2 linked regions of the Struthio camelus genome follow. The protein of the gene in region 2 interacts with the protein of the main gene of each other region in a pairwise test. Links are inferred from orthologs where the notes say so. Each region holds a gene or a part of one and is shown on either strand. Other genes may lie near its edges.

Region 1 (7,506 bases), on a different chromosome or scaffold from region 2:
CCATGAAGGAAGCTTTGAAGATGAGCGTGAAATCCAACAGAGCAGAAACCAAGGACGGGAGAAGGGAGGACATGACGGAGAGGAAAGTAGGACCACCGTGTTATCTGCTAAAAATCATTAGAACAGCTCAACTCAGCGCAACTGATCCTCTAGTCACCAATAGGAGGAAAGTATTTGCATGAAGAAGAAGTACTAGAGGATTACAGGTCCACTAAAGGTGCTGTGTGGCGGACAGTTCAGATAACAAAATGAACCATTAACTTAAATCTTCATTTTCTTTGCTTGTCACTTCCTTTTACAATAGAATTTTGGGATTACTTTTTTTTTTTTAATTCCATTTCCTAAATAATGGAAAACACTCCAGTTTGAGCTTGCTCACTTACTACTCACTACAGTACCATACGGAAATGCAGAGTAAAAAAAATTATTAGTTTTCATTACTTGGTGAATTCTGTATTTTCTACAGAAGTTCAGAGAAGAAACTACTTTGTACGCACATTCTACATTTACTATAGTTAATTGTCTTGAAGTTTAGACTGAGGCTAACAAATCATTAAAACAGGGAAAATGGCTTTTTACTTTAAAGTATGATACTATGTATACGTATAAAAATACACACTTGCTTTATGTAATTATTGCTATTAATTAATAACAGGGCCAAGTGAACTAAACTATCTCTGTCACAGGCTGAGATTTGCATGACAGATCAAAACACTAAACTCTCCAATTTAGGGTTACACTTTCACTGCAGTTTGCTTTCAACACTTAAAAGAATCCTCTGAAGTTGGATAAGCCTGAGCAGGGTTATAGCTCCATGACACCATGCCTTCAATAACATGCCAGTTTAAGAAGTTACTGCCTGGGATATTAGTTCCTACCCCACATCACCTCTTCACCTGTGCTGAGGCAACTCTTGAGATGTGAACCCTGTAAATCCACCACCCTTACTTTACTTTTAAAATAGTAAGAACAAGGGAGAACAAAAACCCTACATCCATTCCCAGTCTGCTTCTCCAAAAAAAGAAGAGGCAAAGTGGGCCAAGGAGTTGCAGTGTCTGAACGAATGGCTGAGTAACTCCACAAGCTGATACTGCAACCAAAGTCCCTTTTCTTATCAAATGGTCAGCTGAAGAATCTCAGCCTAAACAGTGAGTAGGGAAGCTGTGCTAACTTGGGCTGTAGCCTTTTTTTTTTTGCCTCAGAGGCTCACAGGTTTGAGTAAAAAGCACCACTGCTCCCAAGCTACAAGAAAAGAACACAATTAGAACAGTATCACAAATTCTGCTACTACAAAAAAAGGGTTCTAACACAACATTTTTTAAAAAGCCTCTTTCTGTTATGCTTTTAAGGATTAGATCCTCCAAGCTCATTGTTTCCTCTACAAATGGCTACATAAATCAATTCTAGCATTTTTCAGAAACAAGAAAATTCTTGCTTCACCAGCAGCTCTTTCCCTCTATCCCATTCCCTTGGCCAGAGCTCTTGCCCCAAAGCTCTGCAACTAGCATCTTCATTTCTATCAACTTCATCAAGCAGATAATAAAATACAGTTGTGAAAAAAGCAGGTAGAAAGAGTCCAACTGCAGAAACTCCTTCAAAATCACGGCAAAACAGATCTCTAAACGAGGAAAACACAGACCCATTTCTTAGGCTCTAAAAAGCAGCAGTGAAGGGAAATTCTTAAAATACAGAGCTGGGAGACTGGGCAGCAGGAACAACCAGTTCTTCCTCACAGAGAAGCATCAAGCCTTGGAACCAGCATCTTCCCATTCAAAATTTGATCTTACCAAGAATACCCCAGATAAGGAGAAAGCAGATGCTACTCTACTTTCCCAGCAATAAAACTGGAAAACACCCACACTTGTATATGGAAATCCAGAGTAACACAGTTTCCAACGCACGTACAAGGAGGCAAAGAGAACATGCCTACTCTCCAGCTACAACGTCCTTAAGAAGCAAATGAATCCCCACAGAAGTTAAACATCAGTTACGGTGCTGGCAGAATTACAACGACAGAGTTTTATTTTAAGCTTTGGCTATTAATATCTCCGGAATCTAAATTTTTGTATTCAGCTATTTTCACTCAGCTTTGTAGAACAGAGCTAAAGACCTCTGAATTACAGAACACTGACACAAGACGTTAAGGAGATACCTTATCGAGCAAAACCCTAACAATGCATCATTTCACCTCTGCATCACCTGGGAAACACAACACACAAACTTGTATTAAAGTAACCCGGAGTAAGTTTAGAGGATCATAGCCACATCACAAGGGATTCTCTCCTCGCTTTTCCAAGCGACTAATTCTTGCCCGAAACACCTCGCACAATTAACTATGACTTAAAAGTTAAAACGTTTGGTTTTTATTCTTTTCCTTACCGTTCCCCTGAAAAAACTTCCGAGACACGCCAGCAACCCCCCCCTTCCCCGGGGAGGCCGCACCCCCCCCAGCACACACACGGCCGAGGAAGCCCCGAGCCGCGGGACAGGGGCTCGCTGCTCCCTTTCAGCGCCGCTAACGGCACTGCCGGCTGCGGCCCTCAGGCCGCCTGCCCAGGAAGGCCCCGGCCGGCCGCGAGCCGAGGGGTCCCGCGGAGTAGGGGGAAGGGCCGCGGCCCCGCAACGGCCCTAACGGCCGCCCGCCCCCCCCCCAACGGCCGCCCCGCGGCTCGCGACCCCCGCCCCGGCGAGGCCGCCGGGCCCGAGGCGCCGTGGGGCGGGCTCCGCGCGCCATAAGCGCTGTCCCGCGCGGGCTGCGCACCCAGCTGGTGTGGTGCGTGGCGTGGCGTGGCGGCGCGGTCCGGCGCGGCCCGCGGCGGCGGCGGCAGCGGCTCCCGGCAGTGGCGCGACCCGCTCCGGCGATGGCTGACGTGGAGCCGCTCCCTCCTCGGGCCACATCGATGGTACGGCGGCCCCAGCGGGACACACCTCCCCTCGCACAAGAACGCGGACGGGGCGGGGCGGGGCGGTGCTGCGTCACGGCTCGGGGGAGGGCCTTGCCCCTCTGACGTCACCGCTTGCTCGCTAGGAAGCGCGGGCGGAAGGCCGGGGGGAGGGGAGCGAGGAGCGCGCGGCCGGCCGGGGCCCGCTCGCCATTGCGTCAGCGCCGTGACGTCATATGCACCATAGGGTGACGCTGCAGAGCTAAGCACGTCCACTGCGACAGCCTGGGCAGGTGGCACGGTGGCAGGCAGCACGGGGGCAGGCGAAGGCCAGGCCGGGCTCCTTCAGCCTGCCCCGCTTCTACATCAATACATGCATCGGACGTTTACAATGGAAAAACAACGCCAAATTCACTTTGTTTATCACACTGTAGCTTCAAATGTCTTTTGCATCTCTACCTGAAACACGGGCTTCCCTCGGAGACATCGCTAAAGAAATCTCTTTTCAGTAAGACTGCTGCCACTGCTATAAATGGGAAATTACTCTTCTCACTTCAACTGCTATTAGTGTAATAAAACCCAATTAAAGTGTCTAACGTTCGCATGATGTGCGTGCATGACACTTGGAAGAAAAATCTTCATTGAAGCTGATCACTAATAGCAATGGAGTACAGAAAATGCAATATGTGCATATTGCATTGCAAATGCAATCAAATTTTGTGACATTGAACTTAAATCCAAGCTGTCACTAAACAGAGTCCTTGGGTAGACTCTATAGCACAAACCAAAGTGACAAAACCAAGAAGGAATACAGAGACTAGATAAGTCAGGGGACCTGAAAGGGCAATTTAATATGTTTCCATCATTACTTACATGTAGCGCATGCATTAGTGAGCTAAAAAAGCCCTTGGCTACCTGATGGCTGTTTGATGGCCCTAAAGAAATGAAGTCATTCATTTCAGTTTTGAAAGACCTGAGGTTTATTAAAAAACACAACTGAAAAAGCTTACTGGCAGCTTCATGCTTATTCTGTCTGCAATAATTCCAGTAAACACTCATAATTAGAAATGTCTGTCCAAGTCACGAGTGAGACAACCACAATAAAACAGGCGGAAGCTTGATGCATCCTACATGTTCTAGGACTACTTTGTAAATAGAGGGATTCAAAGTCCTGTCAGTGCAATACTTCATGAGCACTATATTTATATAAAGCAACCGAGGGCTCACAAATCAGTTACTGTTTCAATGTGACAAATAGTACATGATTGCATCTTGATAGCACATTGATTGTATGAAAGTAGTATTTGAGTAGCTATTTCTTCAGATTTAAAAAAAAATGAACAGTACATTCCAAGAAAGATTTATTTCCACTTGTCCTTACAAGTTAAAGACAGTATGCTTTTCATTAAAAAAACAGTATTGTGCACTATTTAGAAAATGGTAACACCTTTCTTGTCAAAGAAAATATGTCCAACTATCCTACCATTTAAGGATAGATGGGCTAGTTTGTTTGTTTGTTTTTATAGCGTAATCCTCAGAATGTGTCAGTAGAAGACGCATATAGGTCAGGAGAAAGGTTACCAGCAGATGGATATATGTTCCTGTATAATTATACATAGGTAAACACACAGCAGAATTCATCCATCAACTAGTGCTCCATGGGCTCCTCTGCCTTTTCCGCAGGTTCATCAGCGGGCGGAGCAGGCTTAAAGAGAAGAAAAAAAAAAACATATTATAGAAGGGAAGAAAACAGTACCTAGCATATCCGCTTTACACTAGATTGAGTATCACAAGTGGTAAAAGTAGCTCACATAAACAAATAGCTTACAAGCAGTATTATATAAATCAAGCATGGAGAAGGATAGAGCTGGTAATTAGAAGACTTGAGGAGGCATCTTGGGACAGACACCAGGAACATATGTAGCCACTTCTGCTACAAGAAAGTGAAAAAAAGTAATCTTAAATAAGGAAAGAAGATGAAGACATTGGAAAAGCCTTCTGCCAATTTATCGTAAACTGATTTAATAAGCAGCTTAGCCTCCAGCTTCAGTCTTTAGACAAAGATGATATGTTGCCTCCTGTTTTCATGTAGCAATGTCAAATTTTAAAACTGCATACCTAAAACCCTACTACACTAAGAAAGCTAAATGTCCTAAACATAATAGGTCATACATCACAAAATGTTGCCTTTCACCAAAGCCTCTTTATTTGTATATAAAACACAAACCTTTCTCTGTGGTCTCTCCTCAAGACCTTCTAGGAATGGTGCTACGTCATCATCATCATAGATGGTAAACTCCATGTCTTTGCCCACAATTCCAATGGAAACATTCTGTTAAGGAAAATTTTGAAAGAAGTAAGACACGTTTTTCTGCAAATAACTTGAATCTGTTTCACAAGTGAAAACTGTAAAGCCATTAAGTTTCCTCCTGTGATAAAGGGATTCACTTTGCTATTGTGTCTACTTAAGGAAGAGAGGAATTCCGAGATTCCCTTTTTGGTAGGTTGTACTAGAAAAGGAAAGGGAGGCAGAGAGGGAGATTTATTCCCTACAAAAGCTATCATGCTTTGAGATCTTACCAGTAAAATCACTATTCAATGATTTCAATTTCTATTTTTTATTTTAAATAACAAATACCTGATTTTTCAAAATCACTGATTCTCATCTTTTTTTTCCCCCCTCCCTTTTCCTTATCGTAAAAGTTCTAACAAAACAAGATGGGCTAAGAGTAAAAATCTTAAACACAGATAAGGGCAGATCAGCCACAAACATAACACTAACTTTTGGTAAGAGATCTGCTTAGAAGTTTCTTGTTCAAGAGCTGGTCAGTTCATATTTCCTGGCAGAGGCTTTGCATCTTTTTGGTATTGGATGCTCAATCAACTGTTTGCATAGCTGTGCTCTGACTGAAGGGGCAACTCCCCCCTTCCTTTCCAGTCCTTTCCAATTGCTGATTGGGCTTACAAAGCAAAGTGATGATCCAGTTGTGTTCAATGCATCTTAAACACTGATCAAACCTTAAAATAGAATATTTTACGCAAGCAGCCAGGAAAATGATGCCTTACTTAGACAAAAGTATCATTTTATTATGGTAAGCAAACAAACAAAAAAAAATTACAGATGAAGCTGTAGGTAAAGTTGTCACATATGAAATGGAGATGACGCTCTCCACCACTATTTGGCTTCCAAATTTCAGTGCCAGTCATACTTTACATTAATTTTGTCATAGCAATTTCTAATAACAATGGCAGTAAAATTTCTTCTTAAACACACAAAAACAAACAAAAACAAAACAAAAACATCCTAGTATTTACCTTGGTGGTCAGATCTTGTTCAGCAGGAAGAGTCTCTCTCAGGGCACGCAGTCCATGCTTAACTAGCTCATTTAGATTACCTACAAATTAAACGCAATTAGAAAGACATTTACGAAATAATACAGTTGAGTCTCTTGAGACTCTTTTGCCCTTCCTCCTATTCCCAGTTGACAACTAGAAAAATCAACCTGGCTATTTTGACTTCCAGAACTGCGCTCCTTATGTATTTCCGGTACTGAATATAGAGTTGGTTATCAAAGTATACTTCAAGAAGTGAGCCTTTCCTTACACTTCAGGCCAAATGCATCCATTTTTGGCACCTGCATTGTCTTCAGTGCAGTGATACTCAAGCTATTTTTTCCCCAACCAGACACACAGTAGCCTCCAAATAACTTTCATATAAAAACAAATTTGCGATTTTAAATCCACAACCTAGAGACTCATCCTGAAATATTATGCCTTCTCTGTAATACAAAGAATTGCTCTTTCCCTGAGTTACACAGGATGGAGACTTTGTACTTTTTTCTCAGCCTCTGAACAGAAACTTCTTTTTCATTAGATCTAACAAAAATCCAGATGTTAGAAATGAAGATTTGTAATGTATTCTTTACAATTATTGTCTTCATGCAGATTTACACTTACACTAAACTTGGCTCCCAAAGTTTATCTTCCCATTTTACTAAACACAAAAGGATGGAGCAATAGCACGAAAAAAAACTGTGCAACTGATGAAGACCATCAGATAGACAGAGTTTCATTACTCACAGTCAGTAAACTCAGTCATGTGCCTCTCCAAGTAAGTTCGAGCTGACTGTGAACGAGCACCAATGGACATTGCTTTACAGTCAAAATAGTTTGCAGAAGGACAGGTCTGGAAGATGTGAGGACCCATATCCTACCAAAAGGGAAAACAAACAAACAAGTAAACAAACAAAAACAATACATGTTTTTTTTTCTAAAACAAAGATTTGCTTCATGATACATCACATAGCTTATGTCTAAGCACAGATATATTTTATATTGTTTATCATACCATTGCTCTTACCAATTGCTTCAAGTCTTATTCTAAATAAATAAATAAATAAACAAACAAACAACAATCCTCCTTCATACTTTGTTATTTGAAACATAATTTTTATGCAGGTAGGATAGCAGGCACCAAAAATCTTTCTTTCTCTGTTCCATAAGCTGTACCATGCATACATATGCTTCCCACCTCATGGCTTGCAGTTAAATATTTCACACACGTTCTGTCTGATCTGTGCAAGTGTAAAAACCTGCTGTAGATTTAAGCATGTCATGCCAGATT
Region 2 (7,875 bases):
ATTTATATCTTAATAACAAATCAATCGCTCTTTTCTTTGTTGTCAAAGACACTTTAGTTAAACTTAAAAAGAGAATCTTCAGGTACCTAATATTCCATGAGAAAACCTACTGCAGATTCCCACAGTTATAGACTAAAGAGCACGTTTCAACAAAAGAAAGCATAAGATATAGCAGATGCATTTTTCCTACTCTAGATGTTCGTCTTCAGGGTAACTTATTTCTTTCTTCTTGGGCTACTTACAACGCAAGTAATAAATCTGCAGTCCAATTATCAAATCTATATAGACTGTTCGAATGTTTCTCTTCCAGAAAGTTTCATTCAAAGATAAGTAGCTCAGGAAGGAACTTCAGCAGTCCAGTATAACTTACACATTTTAAAAAGTTCAGCAATTGAGAGGCTTATCTTTTGTCAGCTCACTACTACGCTTAAAGGTTCTCCATGAAAATATCTGTTGAAACTATCTCTTGCCACACACCAACAATAGGTCATCTAACATTCTTTTTATGTAGCATGAATACCTCCCATGTAGTTCTTTGCAGAGCTTTCAAAGAAGGTGATAATTGTTTACTTTGAGCTCTGGAAACACTATCCCAGGTCTGAAAACCTCAGCTGAACCCTTATTTAATCCACTACACATAGCAAAGTCTGGACTTGGAACTTAAGTATTATATATTGGTAACTATCACCCTAGTAAGTGAATTAAAATACTCTGGATGCTGCTTCAGCCTACTATACCAGACTCCCTCAAGAAGGCTTTAACAAGTGTGTGATCATGTCATACCAGGTTGGTAACTATTTTCAAAATGTATTTAACAGGATTAAAACACCTCCAAGATGACAGGAAATGTTATGACCTTTCAGTGTTCCATACAGACATCTGAAAGATCAGTATTTGCTTTCTGTTCCAACTTCTTCCTCTGTCCATATAGGCATCACTGACTCTGAAGAGGTGTTAAAGAAGAGGCCATCATATGCCTGTTCTTTAAAAGCAATTCTTACAGATAATCACTATAATTAGCACTACTTTATATAATGCACAGCATGCCTAGTCTCTCAGGGTGTCATAAAAGCTTTTGAAAGGGAAAATAAAGAGCACAGAGGAGGAAAAAGGAATCCTCAGAACCCCAGGAAAGGAGACAGGAAAAGAGCAAGAACGCGTTCTTAAGACCAGTAGCTCTGAGTTTTTAAGTGTATACATGTGCAAGAGTAAACTATGTTAAGTAAACTCACCCGAATACAACTGAAACAACATAGCTTGGAGCAATGGGGACACAGACGTGCATCACGCAATTTCTCCATACAAATAAAACATCGGAATACTTCAGCAATGCTCTGCAAAGGTTAGATTAATGCTATTGTTATGCCACAAACGTCAAACATTTATTTTCTAGGCAGAATGCCAGGTTTAATAAATAGAGTCCTATTCCAAACAGCTATGCATACTGCATCTTGGAGTAGGGTACCGGCTCAAACATCATGGCTCTCTTCCTCATTTCCTTTTACATCCCACCAGCACTCAGTGTCCATTTTAAAACGCTATGCTTCTTCCAGGAAGAATTTCCTTGTTGGATTTATCTTTTACCAACTAGGCATTTCTGTAGCCAAGAGCCATTATTCCTATTTGTATTCCCATGGTTGACAGTTGCCAGAAACAACTGTGCTGTATATGCAGATTCTCAGCCTATGAATTTCAATGTACTGGCTACGCTATGACCAATTCAAAAGCACATTAAGTACCTGTATATATCATACAGAATGTTAACTAGAAGGGTTGAATTGGACAGGTTATTTTCTTGACTTCTGTAAGACTTAAAATAATTTAAGGTCTACCATTACCATTAGATCCACAATTTCTCTGCCCCCCCCCCCCCCACTAAATTAATCTTGGGCAATAAAATCTGGTTTAACATACTGTTTCACTATACCCATTCCAACAGAGAAGTAATTTGTTCTTGAATATAACCACTTCATCTCTCTCCATTCCCAAAATTAGGAAAGTATTGCAAAATATCAAACCATATTTGCTTGTCACACTGATGGATTTTTCACCAATAAGGATTTTCCAAATATAGACTGCATGACTTGCCAGAAGGCACATTCTAAGAAACAAGAGTAAGGTTTGGAAAGTCTTGCAGCCTGTATTATATAGGAGTTAGATCCCTTCTGGCCTTACCTAAAGAACTTTGAAAGATTTTTTCAAATGGGCTATTTTTCCCTCCAGAGTTAAAACTATCATCGGCACAAAGCGAGCCGTATCGTCAATTTACAGATATCACAGCATCTCCTGTACCCTGATGTCCTTTTTAATCGCTGTAAAACCAAACAGATGCATTTACAGGAAGCTACGCGTTACATCTTTTAAACTCTTCGTCGGCTCGGCTCTCAGCACAGCAAGGTAGACAAGGCGTTCAGGTTACTCCTCTCGCAGGGCGCTCTGCCCTCACGCGTGCCAGAGCCGGTTCTGCCGGTGTCAGGGTCTCCCTCCACCTCAGGAACAGGCACCTGCCACGCTCCCCGGACACCTTCGCTAACCCGGGCCGTGTAAAACGACCGCGCGCCGCCTGGAAGCGCTACCGCCTCGCAGCCTTCCTCCCCACCGCCGTCGCAGGCGGGAAAGGCCCGCAGAGGAGCCGCTCTCCCCTCACGGGAGGGAGCGGAAGCCATCGCCAACCCCCTCCCCCCCCGCCAGGCCCCCGGCGGGGGAACGGCAGCCCGCTGCCCCGCAGAGGCGCACCTGGGCGGGCAGCGCCCTCCGCCGCCCTTCCCGCCCCCCCCCCCCCCCCCCCCCGGCGCAGCGCCACCGGCAACCGCCGCCCCGCGGCTCACCTCCACGCTCTGCTCGTCCATGGCCGCGGCTCGGCCGGCGGCGGAGCTGCTCCCCGGCCCCTCTCCCCGCCGCAGTGCCCGGGATGGGAGGGAGGGAGGGAGGGAGGGGGTTGTGCCACAGCGCCGCGCACCCTCTAGGTGCCGGCCATGTTCGCCGCGGCGCGCGGACTGCTCCGCCCTGCGGCGCCGGGAGCGGGCCCGCTCGCCCCTGCCCCGCCGCAACGCGCACGCGCCGCGCCCGCAGGAGGCGGGGCCCCGCCTCGCCGCCCGCGGCCGTTGAGGGGCGGCGCTGCCCCTCCCCCCCAACGGCGCCGGCCTCCTGTCAGACACAAACGCTCACAACTGACCGGACTGAGGCCTGCTCTACGTATTAACGAAATCAAAGACGAGCCCCTTCACCTACCAGAGAGGCGCAGCGCTCAGGGCCCTCTTCCCCGCGGGCAGCTGCTGTCATCGCTAAGGCTTAGAGCCCTTTGAACAAAACTCCCTGCAGTTGTTGCAGGAGAAACACGCTCCTCAACGCCTGTTTTTATCCAAGCTCAAACTTTGCGATCCTTTTGTAACAATTATCTGTGTACGCATGACATTTATTGAAAACAGACAGAAGTACATTAAATGTTTATACAGATTTTTCACTCAGAAGACAGTCTATTTGACAGTGAAGACAAAAATGTTACTCGCATAATATATCAAAGTATATAGAAGAGTTCAGTGCTTAAAAACAGGTGGCTCATGTGAATTCGGAGGGCTGCACTGATCACTGCATCCTCTGCAGGGAAAGGATTTTCCTTGAAGTGTTGGCTTTGATTTTGGGATTGTCTCTTTCCGTAGTGCAGTAGTAAACACAAATTATAAGAGTCACACGGGCAAGTCGGTTACTTTCTCAGTGGGCACAAATTGAAGGACGGGAAATTCTATTTCAACACTAGAAAACTTTTCTTTTTTTTTTTTTTTTTTTTAAACTGCGAGAGTGGTGAAACAGTGGAACAGGTTGCCCAGAGAGGGTGTGAAGTCCCCAGCCTTGGAGATGCCCAAAAGCTAACCGGACGTGACCCAAAGCAACCTGCAGAGACCCCGGGCAGAGCAGGGGGTTGGATTAGATGATCTCCAGAGAGCCCTTCCGACCTCGGCTGTTCTGTGATCCTGTAATTTCATTGGACTGTAACAAAGACAGCGCACATCAAGGCAAAACGAAAAGGTCAGGGGCCAGCGGACATTTAAAAACATATATAATTAAATCTATGGCCTCCTTAGCTTTAATCATTTATTCAGGAATGTAAGTACAATTAAATGGTTTGGGTTATTCATTGTAAAAACCCATTCAGGAATGTAAACAGGAATATGGAAAAGTCACACGGTTAACAATACTCTTCAAAAATGCATCTACGATAGACCTATAAATGTCCAAGATAAATTTCCAACCTCAATGTTTAACTCTGCAATTTTAAGTTTTATAAATAGAATTTGTATACAGAAAAATTAACAGCTTTCTAACAGTGTACTGGTAACTCCCAGACATCAGAGAAATACTTCCTTGTTAATAATCCAGGAGCTATAACCAACATGCTTGTGTGTCAAATAAGAATGGACTGAGCTTTCATTTACGCCACTAATTTAACATTTCCATGTTTGTCAAGTTCCACAACAGAGAGTTCCTTCAAGATGCGTACTCTTGAGTCAGTGGCTTTCATATTCATCTTGTTCATCTGTGAAACGCTGAGTGCTGCTCTGCAAGACAAGAGCAAACTATTCAGCAAAGCAGGGTATCAAACATCAGGCCTGCCAGAGAGTGACTAAAAAGCCCATACTGTTTAGAAGACTGATTTTTGCAAGGGCTCTGCAATTCTCACACTTATGCACATTGCCATCCATTTCACTGTGCTGCTTCAAAGAACAGTCCAAGCTCAGTGTCAAAGACAGAATTGTTAGGTTAAAAGCTTCTTCATTCTTTACCATCAGCCTGTGAGAAATCTGCAGCAGAAATCACAGACAGAGGTCAGGGCTCAGAGTCAAGGGCTAGAGTCAGGGTCTGGGGTCAGGACTGAGGTGAGGAATTTGGGTTAGGGTTTTGCTTTTCCAGGTTATGAAAGCTAGAAAGGTTTTCCAGTATGACTGTGTCAGCAAAACTTTTCTGAGTAGACCCAGTTTTGGACATCTGTTCAGTGACTCCAAGGTTAAAAAAAAAAAAAAATCTGTTTCTGAAGAACTGGACATGCAGTTTTGAAAATTATCAAACGATATAAACCATTTTTATATAAATAAATTTGGGGAGTTTCCTAGGAGGGCATATCACTTTGGGCTATATACCCAACCAGTAAAGGCATAAGTGAGGGAAATCAAATTTTGAAGTTATAGTAGAGCAGCAAATAGTTAACCACTTTCAGAGTTGACAACTGTTTTTATTCAGTTTAAAAAGGCTGGAATTTCTTTACAGATTATAAGAGTCTTATTAATGGATTCCTTCAAGTCTTACCTGTTCTTATTGATAACAAAGTGGTTAAATAACTCCCTGTAAAAATTGTTCAAGTCTGCCAGCTTAACAGTACTTCTGATACTCCTTGGTACAGTCATAAGCGTTTCTTCAGTCAATGGTTTGAATTGTGATTCTAGAAAATTGAAAATAGAAGGCATTTATTTCTTCAGAAATTAGGCCACAGATAGATAGTACTTTCATACCTTTGTAAGAAAACTCCTAAATGATTCTGAAAAAGATTTTACTGCAGGAGGAAGGAGAGAGGGAAGACACTCCCTCCAAACTACCATTGTTTCTGCCGACCTAGTGAAAAATAATTTAATTTGAAATTTGATATGGATTAATAAATTTGGTCTGTCAGAGACTAGTTAAAAACAATCACTAAGAAAACTCCTTTTTATAAATAAGGATGAACAGATTAAGCAAGAGTTATTTCTATGGCACAACTAGTACACCATTTTCTTTCTTCCAGACTAGAGGCACAACAGGATCCACTTAAATCCCCTCATCAGCAAGAGCAGCTCCCAGAGACATGGGAGCTACATGTGGAATATAACTAAGCGCTCAGTTTCTTATAGTAAAGTATAAATTCTTCACTTCATGTAAAAGCAGTAGTTACTAGAGCTTAAGAGAATGAAAACAGTGAATTTACTGTGCTGTTACTGAAGGTTTTTTTACAGTCTCTGTCTTTTTCAGAGAGTAAAACAGCTTAATTCATTAATCCCTGAATTCTAGATAGTAACTCTAATAGTTCTGGGATACTTAAACATATGAAGTTCAACACTGAAGATGGAAGCCTTAGGAAAGATTGATATTATTTGCAAAACTTATTTACAGGGCCTGGGGTGGGAGGAGGCGGGGGATCAGTCTTCATGCTCAAAAAGAAAAGGGAGCAGTAGAAAGATTTTTTTCCCCAGCACTCACCTTCAGTTGAGTCAGGGACTGTAGATTCCGAACTAAATGGCTAAAAATAAATGAGAGATAATTTCAGGATTTGTTGAAATTTTATTTAGAAATTAGTTTTTACAACGAGCATTTCTGTATTAGTAACTACATTTTACCACTGGATACCAAGGATCTCACAGCTACTGAAGTTAACAGCAAAATCTTATGCGTTAAATAAATTCCAATTTCAAATAAGAATAGGTTTAAAATGCAAACAAAAAGATTCATATGCAAGTCAGATAAGCCTCTTCAGCTTTCTCCTCTGCATTCCAGTATGGATCTAGCTGAAAGCACTGCACATGCAGCAAAGGAAAAAGACGGCTTCCCTGTTCTCCAGCAACCCTCAGAGTTGACAGTTTTGACAAGCTAAAGGTAGCTATATCTAACTCTTCTCTGCCAGAAATTCAGCATTAACAACAATAACAAAAAAAACAAAACAAAAAACCAAAACAGGGCCTTTGTGGTATCTTTCCCTTCTTTCTGTCTTTCAGAGACTTTTAGAATATCTTCAAAACACACGTAATAACAACATAGGGACTCATACCAATTAAACAACCTTTAATGTGAGCAGGATATAGCTACATTTTGCACGAGGTCTGTTTTTATGCCAGCTGTATCTTAAGGGCTTCAGAATTAAATAATGGAAAGACAAAAATTGAGAGGATTTAATCAAGGTAGGAGAAGATATTTGCAAAGGAAGAGTGAATGAAGCAGAAAGCCAGTATCATACTGGAAGTCTTTCATGCAAACCAACCGTGGCAATAAAGGGACAGAAAGAGAGACATCCTTTGATAGAAAAGGAGTAGGCAGTGAGAAGAAGTAGAAAAAGATAAGGTCAGTAAGATAATTACAGTCTGCTAACTTTCTTTAATATTTTGTTTTTAATGTAAGACCCATACCAAGTCTTTGCAGATGATTATCACTATTAGAATGTTGTGCTTTCAGGAGCTTTGAGAAAATATCCGACTTTTTAACAAGTATCATTTATATCTACATTCTATTGTGTTATATATTATGTGCAATATGCTTCAATTACTCTTACTCATACTCCAACCTGTATTTAATATTTTACAGGAAATTAAATTTCTCTCCATTTTGATATATATGAGCTTGAAGCAATTACACTCTTCACTCCCACCCAAAGGCTTCTTATATAATGTGTTAACAGACTAACAAGAAGAGCGAATAAACACAAACATTTCCCAATAAAAAATAAGAAAAAAAAGTCTTCTGTCAAAACAAGTTCTTCCACCATGGACAATTTAATTGGAACAAAGCAGCAACCTAATCAACATACAATCAAAACAAAAAGGGTTTGCCAAAAATTGTAGCGCCATTCCTTAGAATACCTCTGAAAGGAATGGAATTTAAGTCATAACAGCCCTCCCAACTTCAGTTGAACTACTCAGGATTAATAGTTTCTGAAATACAGACACTGTCGCCTAATTACCTCTTCCGCTAGCGATTCCATTTCTTTAACAGTTTGGCAGGTTAATTGTTGTGCTGCAGCCTGTTCTTCTTCTGACAGAGGCAAGCGCTAGAGAGAAAGATACAAGAAAATTCTGTTACTTTCAGTTCCTAGGATGATCGTATTTACAGAAGAACTCAATGTTTGTCTAATCCTTTTCT

Evidence for each region.
Region 1: the proteins of TRIM37 (region 2) and COPB1 interact in binary tests that used the Homo sapiens proteins (3 or more experiments, as listed by UniProt). The two-hybrid records come from large-scale screens. The link is inferred for Struthio camelus from reciprocal best matches to the Homo sapiens genes TRIM37 and COPB1.

The regions. Positions count from the first base shown.
Region 1 is NC_090946.1:22,178,755-22,186,260, reverse strand, and holds the start of COPB1 (coatomer subunit beta), read right to left. Parts: upstream 3,026-7,506; 5' UTR 2,762-3,025; intron 2,653-2,761; exon of another isoform or gene 2,380-2,652; intron 1-2,379. Other genes in the region: PSMA1 (proteasome subunit alpha type-1), read right to left, coding at 4,531-4,587, 5,110-5,214, 6,198-6,277, 6,963-7,092. UniProt on the Homo sapiens protein: The coatomer is a cytosolic protein complex that binds to dilysine motifs and reversibly associates with Golgi non-clathrin-coated vesicles, which further mediate biosynthetic protein transport from the ER, via the Golgi up to the trans Golgi network.
Region 2 is NC_090957.1:18,435,069-18,442,943, forward strand, and holds the start of TRIM37 (E3 ubiquitin-protein ligase TRIM37), read right to left. Parts: upstream 3,063-7,875; 5' UTR 2,850-3,062; coding exon 2,829-2,849; intron 1,335-2,828; coding exon 1,233-1,334; intron 1-1,232. Other genes in the region: SKA2 (spindle and kinetochore-associated protein 2), read right to left, coding at 4,430-4,556, 5,302-5,434, 6,226-6,265, 7,697-7,783. UniProt on the Homo sapiens protein: E3 ubiquitin-protein ligase required to prevent centriole reduplication. Probably acts by ubiquitinating positive regulators of centriole reduplication.